Linked DNA regions of Danio rerio. The protein of the gene in region 1 interacts with the protein of each later gene in a pairwise test. Links are inferred from orthologs where the notes say so. Each region holds a gene or a part of one and is shown in the gene's direction. Other genes may lie near its edges. The genes, in order: kctd9a, nup35 and syt6b.

Region 1 (3,658 bases):
ATACAACCCCAAACACCCCCCCACACCACCCGCTCTACACTTTCATGAGTGACACCTCTCCATCCTTGGGTAGCATGTCGAATCCGTTAGCCCAATCTGTTCCAGGACTTCGCAATTCATAAATTAAGCACTGCATATATATATATATATATATATATATATATATATATATATATATATATATATATATATATATATATATATATATATATATATATCTACTAATAGACAGAAAATTACACTTTACAAACTGTTAAATCACCTAAACATCTGCATATTATTCAATAATAGTACTGAAATTAATAGAAAAAACTGAACAAATATATATATTTACACACATGTATATATTTATTACACATTAAGTAAATAAACGGATCCCACCTGGGCCTAATATAAGCAGTTAGCCTGGTATGTAGATTATTGCAATATTTTTAACCTGAGTCAATCACTAATTCAAAGCCATGTTTATAAAAAGTAAGGCCAAATGTGATAACGACTCCACTGTTCAATAACTAATTATTTTTTAATTGCATACAACACTGTACACTACTAGCTATTTTTTCTTTATTAAGTTTTACTGAACATGGATCCATTTAACATACAAGCTTTGGTAACACTTTAGTTTAAGCAGCATATTCTCACTATTAACTAGTAGTTTATTACCTGCGCTTTATTGAGATATTAGCTGTTTAAAACTACTTTATAAAATGCATATTCTGCATGATCTTAGTCTACATCCCTAATCCTACCTACTGCAAACCTAACTACCTCCTCAATATCTAATAATATGCGGCAAATTGGGAGTTATTGAGGCAAAAGTCATAGTTAATAATGATGTAATAATTTAGAGAATTGTACCTTTATAAAGTATCACCCAATTTTTTAAGAGAGGCATAAGATGAGATGAAAACGACAATCTTCAAATGTGATCATTTTATTAATGCTTTATAGGTGTACTGGAAGAAGCTAGATTTTTTGGAATAGAGCAACTGGCAGAACAGCTGGAAGTCGCCATCAAGGTATTTAAGCACACTGCACTTTACACCCCATGCGCATCATGCGTGGCTTTCCCAGTACTAGGAAACGCCTATACACTCTCACGTTCACACACACACACACTCAACATACAATATGGCCAATTTTGTTTACCCAATTCACTTACATTACATGTCTTTAGGGGACATCGGAGCACCCGTAGAAAACCAATGCGAACACGGGGAGAACATGCATACTCCACACAGAAATACCATCTGACCTAGCCAGGACACGAACCAGGAAGCTTCTTGCTTTGAGGCAACAGTGCTAACTAGGGGTGTAATAATACACTTAGCTCACGATACGATGTGTATCACGATATAATGTTCACGATTCGATATGTATCACGATATTTGGAATAAAAATTTAAAATTAAACTGAAATGCAAATTTTACCAAGTAAACTATTTTTTATGTATTACTTTTGTTTCAACTTGTTAAACTGAACCTTCTTTAAGAAAATAAATTAAACAGGCCTGTCTCTGGAAAATAAAACAATTTAAAAACTTCTTAAAAATATTATTGAAATGACAGAGACAAAATTAAGGAACAATTTAAGTAAAGGTGCAAAAAAAAATAAACTTTCTATTCAATTGAATTTAACAGTAAGAGCTTAAGGCTTTGCTTGGTCACTTGTGTTTTTTGTGTGTGCAAAAAAAATCCACATTTCCAGGTATTTAATTCATATTTAATTAAATTAATTTAGAGATATCTCTAATTACAATTTTGACTAATCAAAACTCATTTAGAGATATCTGCAAATATTTTTCAATGGAAGTCAATGGAGGAATATGACTAGTCATAATATATTTGCAGATATCTCCAATCTGATTTCGTACTAGTACAATTGTAATTGCAGATATCTCTAATTGTCATTCTGACTAGTCGAATTATAATTATGACTAGTCAAAATATAATTAGAGATATCTCTAAATATATTTATGGATAGTCAGAACAAAGGTTTAAATGCTAAAACGGCTTGCCATACGTGCGCGTCTATCAAAGTCCGCCCTCTGTAGTAACAGCTCACAGTCAGCAGCTCACAGTCAGCTCACGTCATGTGTGATTTTGCGGCGGGAACATTATATGAAGACAGAATGATATTTTAGGGTGAATTGTACCTTATAAATACAGTATGTGACTCTTTCAACACCATTAGGAGGTATCCCTGTCGCTGTGCAAAGTATGTAATTCACTGTGAAGACTTTAAAACTTAGGATGTTTGACCCAGTATGCGTGTCAAAAAGCGGACGAGTCTAAAGCAATGACTGGTCAACCGAAATGTTGCCAGACGTCTGATTTTGAGAGGATGGGCCATCCTCTATTTCAGCTCCACTCATCTTGGTCTGCTAACATTACTGCTGCTGCAATCTGAACTCACGTGCGACAGCAGGTGGAACGTAGCTCACTTGCAAACAGCTCAACTAATAAGAGAAAACAGACGTCATATCGTAATCAAATCTTCATAACGCCACGATGCATATTGTGATATTTTTGCATCGCAATAAATCGTACAACGATAAATCGTTATATCCCTAGTGCTAACCACTGAGCCATTGTGTCACTAAACTTTTTGTTTATATATTTGAAAACATTTTATTTTAAACTTGATTAACTGATTCAAATTAATGCAACATAAAACATTTGTTGTCATGGCTTTGTATGGTAAATCCTTTTGAAAATAAAAACTTTTTTTTTTTGCTAAATCCGAAAAATTATCAATATTGTATGCATATAATTGTGCATTAATTGTGTATTTTTGACTCTTCTGATTTGCTAAAGAATTCCCATCCACCTGAAGACCACTCTCCGCTCTCACGGAAGGAGTTTGTTCGGTTTCTGTTGGCTACTCCAACCAAATCAGAGCTACGCTGTCAGGTAGAAGACATCATATGAATGTATAAAAAGTCATATTTAATGTCATGTTCTTTTGGTGTTAAAGGGGTCCTATTAAGCCCTTTTTACAAGGTGTAAAATAAGTGTCATAAGAGTCTGCATGTGACATTTCAGATCAAAATACCCCACAAATAATGTTTTAAAACTCTTTGAACATGACCCTTTTCGGCTTTTATTCTAACCATGCCTATTTGGTGACTGTCACTTTAAATTTAAATGAGACTGTGCTCTTTTTAAAAGAGGGCGGAGCTACAAATGCCTGTGTGTCAACATAGTGGCAGATTCAAAAACAAGACTAATCTCCTATGCTAATGAGGGAGAGATGGTCCCTAATGGGCGGGGCTTTCTCTTACTGATGACACGTTCAAAGAGAGAAGTGTTTCTGCAGACTGTTTTTATCAAGCGTGATCATAAAAAACAGAATTAATTCATTTTTACCATTAGAAGCTGGTTGTATTCACACACTGCTGCCACACAACTGTGTTTAAACGTCTTATGAAAACGATTTATGCATAATAGGTCCCCTTTTTCTGCTCTTTCCCTCTCAGGGTCTTAATTTCAGTGGAGCGGATCTCTCTCGGCTGGATTTGCGCTATATTAATTTTAAGATGGCTAATCTGAGTCGCTGCAATCTCACCTATGCAAACCTGTGCTGCTCAAACCTAGAGAGAGCCGACCTGTCGGGAGCCAACCTGGATGTGAGCCCTTTATCTCTTGCTCTGGGACAA
Region 2 (4,120 bases), on another chromosome or scaffold:
ACATCAACATCAGCTATCAAATTATTGTATTCAGTCATATGCAAGAAATGCACTGTAGGCTATATAAAACCATAAACGTATTGTTTTACTTTTTAATAATGGAGACTGAATATTTCAGCAAGAGGAGGAGGATGTCAATATTTTACTACTCCAGAGGATCCAGGACAACAATGCAACCTTGTGAAACAACAGTGCCACCTGCAGATTAGTTTGTGTAAGAACATTCTACTAACGCATGCAAGTATACAAATTTGAGATCTACCTTCCTTGTACAGCTATTTAATATTAGATATACCATAACAATGGATGACATCAAGTACAATATAAACAAGAAAAATGATATAAGAATATCTAAAATATGCTAAAATAAGATAATAAATAACAGGGTACAGAGGCAAAACTCATTAATTCATTTTCTTGTCGGCTTAGTCCCTTTATTAATCCGGGGTCGCCACGACGGAATGAACCGCCAACTTATCCAGCAAGTTTTTACGCAGCGGATGCCCTTCCAGCCGCAAGCCATTGGAAACATCCACACACACTCATACACTGCGGACAATTTAGCCTACCCAATTCACCTGTACCACATGTCTTTGGACTGTGGGGAAAACCGGAGTACCCGGAGGAAACCCACACGAAGGCAGGGAGAACATGCAAACTCTACACAGAAACACCAACTGAGCCGAGGTTCGAACCAGCGACCTTCTTGCTGGGAGGCGACAACACTACCTACTGTGCCACTGAGAGGCAAAACTATCAATATTAATAATATTTACAAAGTCTTTTGAAGTTTTCACAGTTCTTACACTGTTTTTGCTGTAAACATTTTGTTGTAGTTGTAGTTAAACAATTAAAGTCACAAAGAAAATTCTGCAAATTAGGTAATGATGAAGAAAATGCAAATTTGTGAGTATAATATTTACCCAGTAAATAAATAATAAAATTGCCTATAAATTCTGTTATGTTTGTTATGAGAAAAGTAACTAAATCACATATGGAAAAAATTAATGTTGAATTTACATTTTGATGTAAAAAGACGGATAAATCAGACAAAACCCTTTAACATGTGGCCATTTGATAAAAAAATAAAATTATCGATTTGATGCTTGAGTTACAGAAGACACAATTTGATTTAGGATTACCAAATGTAGACGCAATCTTGTTACTGGGGATAAATAAAAATTCGTTTGACATCCTTCCCTGTAGAGGCGCGACAGAGGCGCCCGGAAGTGCCTCTCGCTGGTGTCATTAGAGCACGCGCAACTTCCGTCTGGTTCAAAAAATTCTGCACTCTCCGGTATTCGGTAAAGCAGATCTAATCTTCTGTTCGTTTACTGCCTGTTAGTCATCCAGTATGGAGATACAGAGTTGTAAGTATTCGTGCTTTTCACAATTTTTGAGTTTGTAGGTTTTGAAGTGTTTGTATGTCGATGAATTTGTGGAAACGGGCGTCCCCGTGGCTTAGCTAATGTCAGCACACTGCAGAAAGACGCGTGTTTTATTCCCCTTAATAACTTTATTAAACTATTTCTGTATGTGGGTGTTTTTATTTGCTGTGACGTGACAGCCAAATCAAGTGCCTGCCAAATAGGGTCTGTTTTTATGTGCTTCGTTGTCCATATCAAATTGGTGTTATCGTTAAAGGGAGAGTTCACGCAAAGAGAAAAATTGTCATTTATTTAGTTTTCTTGTTCAACTTTCTTTGTTCATGGTGTCCGCGGGGTTTTTAAAAAAATATAAAAAATGATAAATATATTTAGATAAATTTAAGACTCTTTTAAAGCATTAACAAGTCTTTTGCTATTTTACAAGGAATTCACTTTTGTATCAGTATGCTAAAGCTTGCCCGAGTCTAATCTTGGAATATTGGGATGCTGTGTAGTTTATGAAATCAAACAAATCCTGCTAAATTTGACATCACGCTGCTTTGTTTACTGCAGTAAACCTGATAAACACTTATTCCTGCTGCTGTAAAGGCTAGATTAATATTTTTATCTAGTTTATAAATACAGTTAAGGATTAGTTTCTTGCAATCAGTATTTATAGTCAGTAAATATATTGCAAATTAAAATGTTAGCAATGTTACTCGTTGAAACATGAAGTGGTAATGAGGTATGCAAAGAGTCTTAAAAAGGTCTTAAAAGGTTTTGAATTTCAATCTCTGTATATACCATGTTGTGTTGAATGCAAAGCCAGATATTTTGAGGGACTACTTTTTTCTTCTTTATGGATGTGTATTGTGTTTGGCTACCGCCTTCCAAAATTCTTCAAATTAGTTTTTGTAAAACAGAAAAAAAGTAAATCACTAAATGAGATAAAAGTCAGTTTGGTTTTATATTTGCACACAGACTTTGATAATTTATATATATATTTTTAATATAACTTAATTTCAGAAGTATACTTTGCAAATTCTTAATAGGGTAATCATATAAGCAGCTTATGACTATCAAAGTGCAAAATTAAATAATGCTAATGACCAAATATTTAAAGTAGCATGTCAAAGTGTCACTGTTCAAAAATGAGCGAATGTGTGAATATAAACAGGGTTCATACAGTCATGGAAAAGTCATGGAATTTGTACATTTTATGTTTAAATATTTTCCAGGCCTGAAAAGGTTTTGGAAGAACAAAAAAATCCACAAAACTAGACTGTCTAAAACTAGAAACTAGAAAACTAGAAACTAGAACTCCAGGAATGTTATAGGCTTTAATTTTAAAAAGCATTAAACACTGTAAACCTTTCAAATGTCTCATAACAGGTATTGAACCAATGACGCTCGGCTCTCCAACCTCTCCTAAGCCTGGGGCTCAGTTTTTACCGGGGTTTCTAATGGGAGACCTGCCTGCTCCTGTCACTCCCCAGCCCAGGTCTTTTGGTTTGACAGGTGGAGCAGAAATCAGGTCTCCTCTTCTTGCTGGTAAATGCATATAACAATGCTTGTTATTGGTTACAGTGCTTTGTTGATACCTTAATTATGGTTATTTTTATACTTATAAGCAAAGTTGCTTTCTTACAGATTTAATGTTCTTTTTTTCCATCAGGTGGGTCTCCTCCACAGCCTGTAGTCCCAACACCTAAAGATAAGAGCGGAGCCCCTCCAGTCAGAAGCATCTATGATGACCTCAATGGCTCTGCTGTGGGAATGTCACCACTTGCTGCTCGCAAACAAGTGAGAAGTGCTAACAAATATGAAAACTTTAGTTATTACTATTATTTTGGTTTGTGTAATTATGCAGTCGTGGATGAAGAACAAAAATAAATACTTAAGTGCGGTAAACATAAAGTATTATTGCAAGCATAGTGTTATGTACCATGTATTTAGTTTTTGTTTTTGACTTATGAATTAAAAAAAAAAAATGATAGTTTACCCAAAAATTAATTACACCATCCATTAATCATTTCCACAGGTTCCATACCTGTTTGAGTTTCTTCTGTTGAACACAAAGGAGGATATACTGAAGAAGGTTGGCAAAAAAGCCATTGAATTCCATAATATTTTTTGTTCTGACTATGGCTGTCAGTGGCTGCTTTTTCCAGCATTCTTCAGAATATCTTGCTTTGAGTTCAACTGAAGAAAAAAATGCAACAAAAATTTAAAACCACTTGAGTGTGAGAATTTTTCTGTTTGTGCAGGCTGTCCCTTTAATGAATGCTTATTTTGCAAGAAAACATGTTATTTTATTGCTGATAATTACACTATTACTGATAATTCTAGTGTACAACACTATGCTAACATTCTAGGTCAATTTTTTGAATGACTTTTCCTACAACGTAAGGAGTCACATAACCACATACTGTTAAGGCAGATTTATTCTTATTATATTATGATGTATATTTGTTATGTTATTATGATATTATGCTTCTGCCAGGTGCACGGGTATGGTCTGGCGCAGGCTTCGCATACATATGCTCCTCTACACATCTCAACTGTTACAGCTACACGTTACTTTACAAAACTTGTCACAAAACCTATCGCTATATGTAACTTGCCAACTATGAGGGCAAAAACATAAAATAAATAAAATAATAATAACACAATAATAATGTATTAATAATATATATATATATATATATATATATATATATATATATATATATATATATATATATATATATATA
Region 3 (3,658 bases), on another chromosome or scaffold:
TTAATTATTTTGTCAAGTTGTTTATGTGTTCCCACATTGCCCCAGTTGGAGAAGCGAACGACTGTGAGAGTGTGATTGAAATGAGAATGTACATCGATGCAGCACCTGTTTGTTTTCTTGGTTGGCAGCCAAGTGCTCCAGCCCTGAGAGCCCACTCCAACGCATTTGTAATAATCTTAAAGAAATAGATCAACATTTTTATTCATTCACTCGGATATATAATTGTTTCCGTCGAGCTGGAGTTTGACCAATGACCTGCTCTTCTTGTATGAAGAAGTCTGTAATTACATTTATCTCATTTGCAATTCCATCTGGAAGCTGTGTGCACTTAATACTGCCTACTCAGTGGTGTTGATAAGTTTAGGCGGTCTGACGATTTGCTCATTACCCTGTGATATTCGCACTTGAAATGGCTTTAAGAAACCTATTTCAAAGGCAAAAGAACCAATTGCTGTCTCTAGTAAAAGGGAAAGAGCCATACCAGACCGGGCATCACACTGAATGATCATTTCCACAACTATGTTGTAGGTTGTGTTCTCAGCATGTGATGATTAATATTTATGCGAGTGCTCTGTGGTGCTTGACCAAGATGTCTGCAGCATTCATGGCATGATTTGTTTTAATTAACTTCACCACAGGCAAACGGAAGAGACAGGAAACTTGAAAAATGCTACTTTAGTAAACTGATGAACACTGGCCTCGGGTTTTGCTGAGGCTAAACCACTGAGGTCTCTTTCATATATAAGCAGCTTTTTCTCCTCACGTTTATAAAGAGCTGCTTGCTGTTGCTGATTTTATATAGCAGGACTCAACAATAGGGATGGCCTGCTGGTCCAGGATTAGGGTGAAAGAGCTCTGAGTGAGTTGACACGCAGTTACTTATCCTATCAGACTTGTGCTGTGAAACTGAAATTGATATGCATTTATACTTTTAGCCCTTGATAACTTAAACATCTGGTTTTGTGTGATTTATTCTTCATTGTAGCAAATTCTGCTGACTTGACACTAAGAAAGAGTTATGTAACACAATGGTTCTCAATCAAAAAGCCTGATTAAGGGCATCAGAAAATATCAAAGGGGCACAGGTTAATAGTATTAGTGTAGTTTCACAAAAAACTAATTTCCAGAGAAGCACATGATATGATTAATCACAGCTGGTCATTATTTTAGTGAATTTGCAAAAATTACATAGGCTGTGTCCGAAATCGCCTACTACTCAGTAGGTATTGCATTTGAATTTGAATTTACTACTCGACCATTAGAAAAGTTTGTTCTATACAGTATGAATATCTGTAGTATGAATGGAACTCAGATGTACTACATCTGCCATTTTGTCATGATTATGTGATCTACCTGCATCAGTTCACTCCCATCCATAAATTCTTACGCAAAGCATAATGGTATAGCATAGTATCCGTTGGATGCACACTTCAGAATCTCACAGGAAGTAGAAGGTCATCCAGGTTCTTCTCGCATACTGTTTTTCGAATTTTTCAAATTCAGACATACTACTTGGCTTGCATTTTTAGTGTTCTATATAGTATGAAAGTATGCGATTTCAGACGCAGTAACAGACCAGAAGTCATTCTTTCCAATGGAGAGCAGTCCAGAAGCTGCACGGAGGTCCGATCATCTCCGTATGCAGAAAATTCATATCCGATTTGAGCTGCAGAATTGTTAAAATATTTGAACTCCTGCGACTAGAGGCCGATCGGATGTGATTTATTCCAGTGTTTTTCAAGCAGGTCAATGTGCACAAGATGAGAAATGGTAGTTTTCAGAGTTCACACTTAGCTGATGATTGATAATAAAGCTTGTTTGGCTTGCTGACCCGGGAGAGAGCCCTGAGCTTATGAGATCCGCAAACCCTGGGCTCCCTCCCCTGTGCAAGGCGAGAGCGGAGCTTAAGTAGATCTCCATAAACTCCCCTTGGCTTATTTCTAGCTAAATGACGGATATGGATGACTGAGGAGAGGTGTACTCGCTAAGAGCTTGGCTATGGTATCAATTTTGTGTTCAATATACTTTTGCATTACGTGTTTTTTGGACTTTGGGAGGAAACCTGGAGAACCCGGGAAAAACCTGTGCGAGCATGGGAAAAACGAGCAAAACTCCACACAGGAATGTCATCTGGTTTAGTAGGGACTTTAAACAAAGACATTCTTGCTGTGAGGCAACAGTGCTAATCACTAGGTTAAGAATCAGCTTCCCACCCATAGTGTACGACAAAACTGACATTTCTGTGCAGCTGCCACAAGGGGGCGTATTCCGACAGCTGTGTCCAAATGTCATGCAGTGGAAATGTAGCTATACTACAAGCAACTACAATTTTTTTTTTTAGCTTTCTAGAACATGTCTTTATCAGTTTGTATATTATATCTTTAGGTCACAGTACTTAGATTAACACACTCTACAGTTATTTGAACCCACTTTATAGCTGAAACACTGATTGAAACCTGTCTAAAGTCCTTTAGTTTGTTGTGTGTGCTTTTCCTTTTCCAATGTCCACCTCTGTTCATGTTGTATCTTCTGTCCAGACATTTCCTTCAGTCTCCTGCTGCTTGTATTTGTGGTGTGCGGTTTGGCCCTGCTGGGTGTCATCAGCGTCGCCACCTGGAAGCTGTGCTGGGTGTCCTGGCGCAGCAAAGTGCTTTCCTCTAGCGCCACCGCCCTTGCTCCCACCCAGCCAGAGAGAGAACAACCCAGAGAAGAAGGTCACGGTGACTACTACCCGGCCCTCAGAGACATTATGGCAGCAGACAAGCTGAAGGATCCTGGGAACTTTCTGGAGGCGGCAGTGAAGATTAGTCATACGTCGCCAGATATCCCCGCAGACGTGCAGCTGTCCATGAAGGATCATCTTCTGAGACGGACGCGTATCTCACGGCAAACAACCGAGCCGGCCTCCTCCAACAGGTCAGTGTTCTGGAAGAATGAAGAAATGCTTGTCTCAAGACCTTCTTATAGGTCATTGCAGTTTACTGTATTTACAAAGCCATTATGAGGTTAGCTCCAGTCATTCCTAATCATGTTAATACTTTGGAAATCTCGTAAATGTCAGACACAATTAGACCCGAAGTTCGTCTCTGGGACTTATTGACTACAAAGAAGGTCAGACAGTGGAAAAAACACAATAAACTCTCAGAAATAAAGGTATAAAGGTTGTTGCTGGGGGGTATCTTTTCATAAGGTACACATTTGTTCTTTTTAGGTTCTAATTTAGACACTTTACAATCTTAAAAGAAGAACCTAAAATGTTTTTCTTTATAGTGATGCCATAGAGGAACCTTTGATGGTTTCATAAAGGATCTTTTAGAAAAATAATTCTTGAAAATAAAAGTTTTATCATAGCCTAAAGTACATTTAATCTTAAGCATGTTTTTCCACTATAAAGAGACTTTTGTCCTTTTTTTGTTTGTTTGTTTGTTTGATTGATAAAAAGGTGCTAAGGATGTTAAACAATCTTCCTGGAATCATCAATGCCAAAAGATAACCTTTATTAATAAAGGGGAGGTCAATCAGCGTTGTTCGAGTGCTCTGCAACACTTCACTGAAGCTAAGCAGGGATGTGCTCAGTCAGTATCTGCATGGGATCCCACATGGGAAAGCTAGGTTGCTGCTGGATGAGGTATTAATGAGACCAGCAGCTAGTAAAAAC

What was found.
Region 2: the proteins of kctd9a (region 1) and nup35 interact in binary tests that used the Homo sapiens proteins (3 or more experiments, as listed by UniProt). The two-hybrid records come from large-scale screens. The link is inferred for Danio rerio from reciprocal best matches to the Homo sapiens genes KCTD9 and NUP35.
Region 3: the proteins of kctd9a (region 1) and syt6b interact in binary tests that used the Homo sapiens proteins (3 or more experiments, as listed by UniProt). The two-hybrid records come from large-scale screens. The link is inferred for Danio rerio from reciprocal best matches to the Homo sapiens genes KCTD9 and SYT6.

The regions. Positions count from the first base shown.
Region 1 is NC_133183.1:61,417,579-61,421,236, reverse strand, and holds part of kctd9a (BTB/POZ domain-containing protein KCTD9a), read left to right. Parts: intron 1-951; coding exon 952-1,019; intron 1,020-2,816; coding exon 2,817-2,912; intron 2,913-3,478; coding exon 3,479-3,628; intron 3,629-3,658. UniProt on the Homo sapiens protein: Substrate-specific adapter of a BCR (BTB-CUL3-RBX1) E3 ubiquitin-protein ligase complex, which mediates the ubiquitination of target proteins, leading to their degradation by the proteasome.
Region 2 is NC_133184.1:12,405,442-12,409,561, reverse strand, and holds the start of nup35 (nucleoporin NUP35), read left to right. Parts: upstream 1-1,310; 5' UTR 1,311-1,354; coding exon 1,355-1,370; intron 1,371-2,759; coding exon 2,760-2,918; intron 2,919-3,042; coding exon 3,043-3,170; intron 3,171-4,120. UniProt on the Homo sapiens protein: Functions as a component of the nuclear pore complex (NPC).
Region 3 is NC_133186.1:26,742,921-26,746,578, forward strand, and holds part of syt6b (synaptotagmin-6), read left to right. Parts: intron 1-2,537; coding exon 2,538-2,916; intron 2,917-3,658.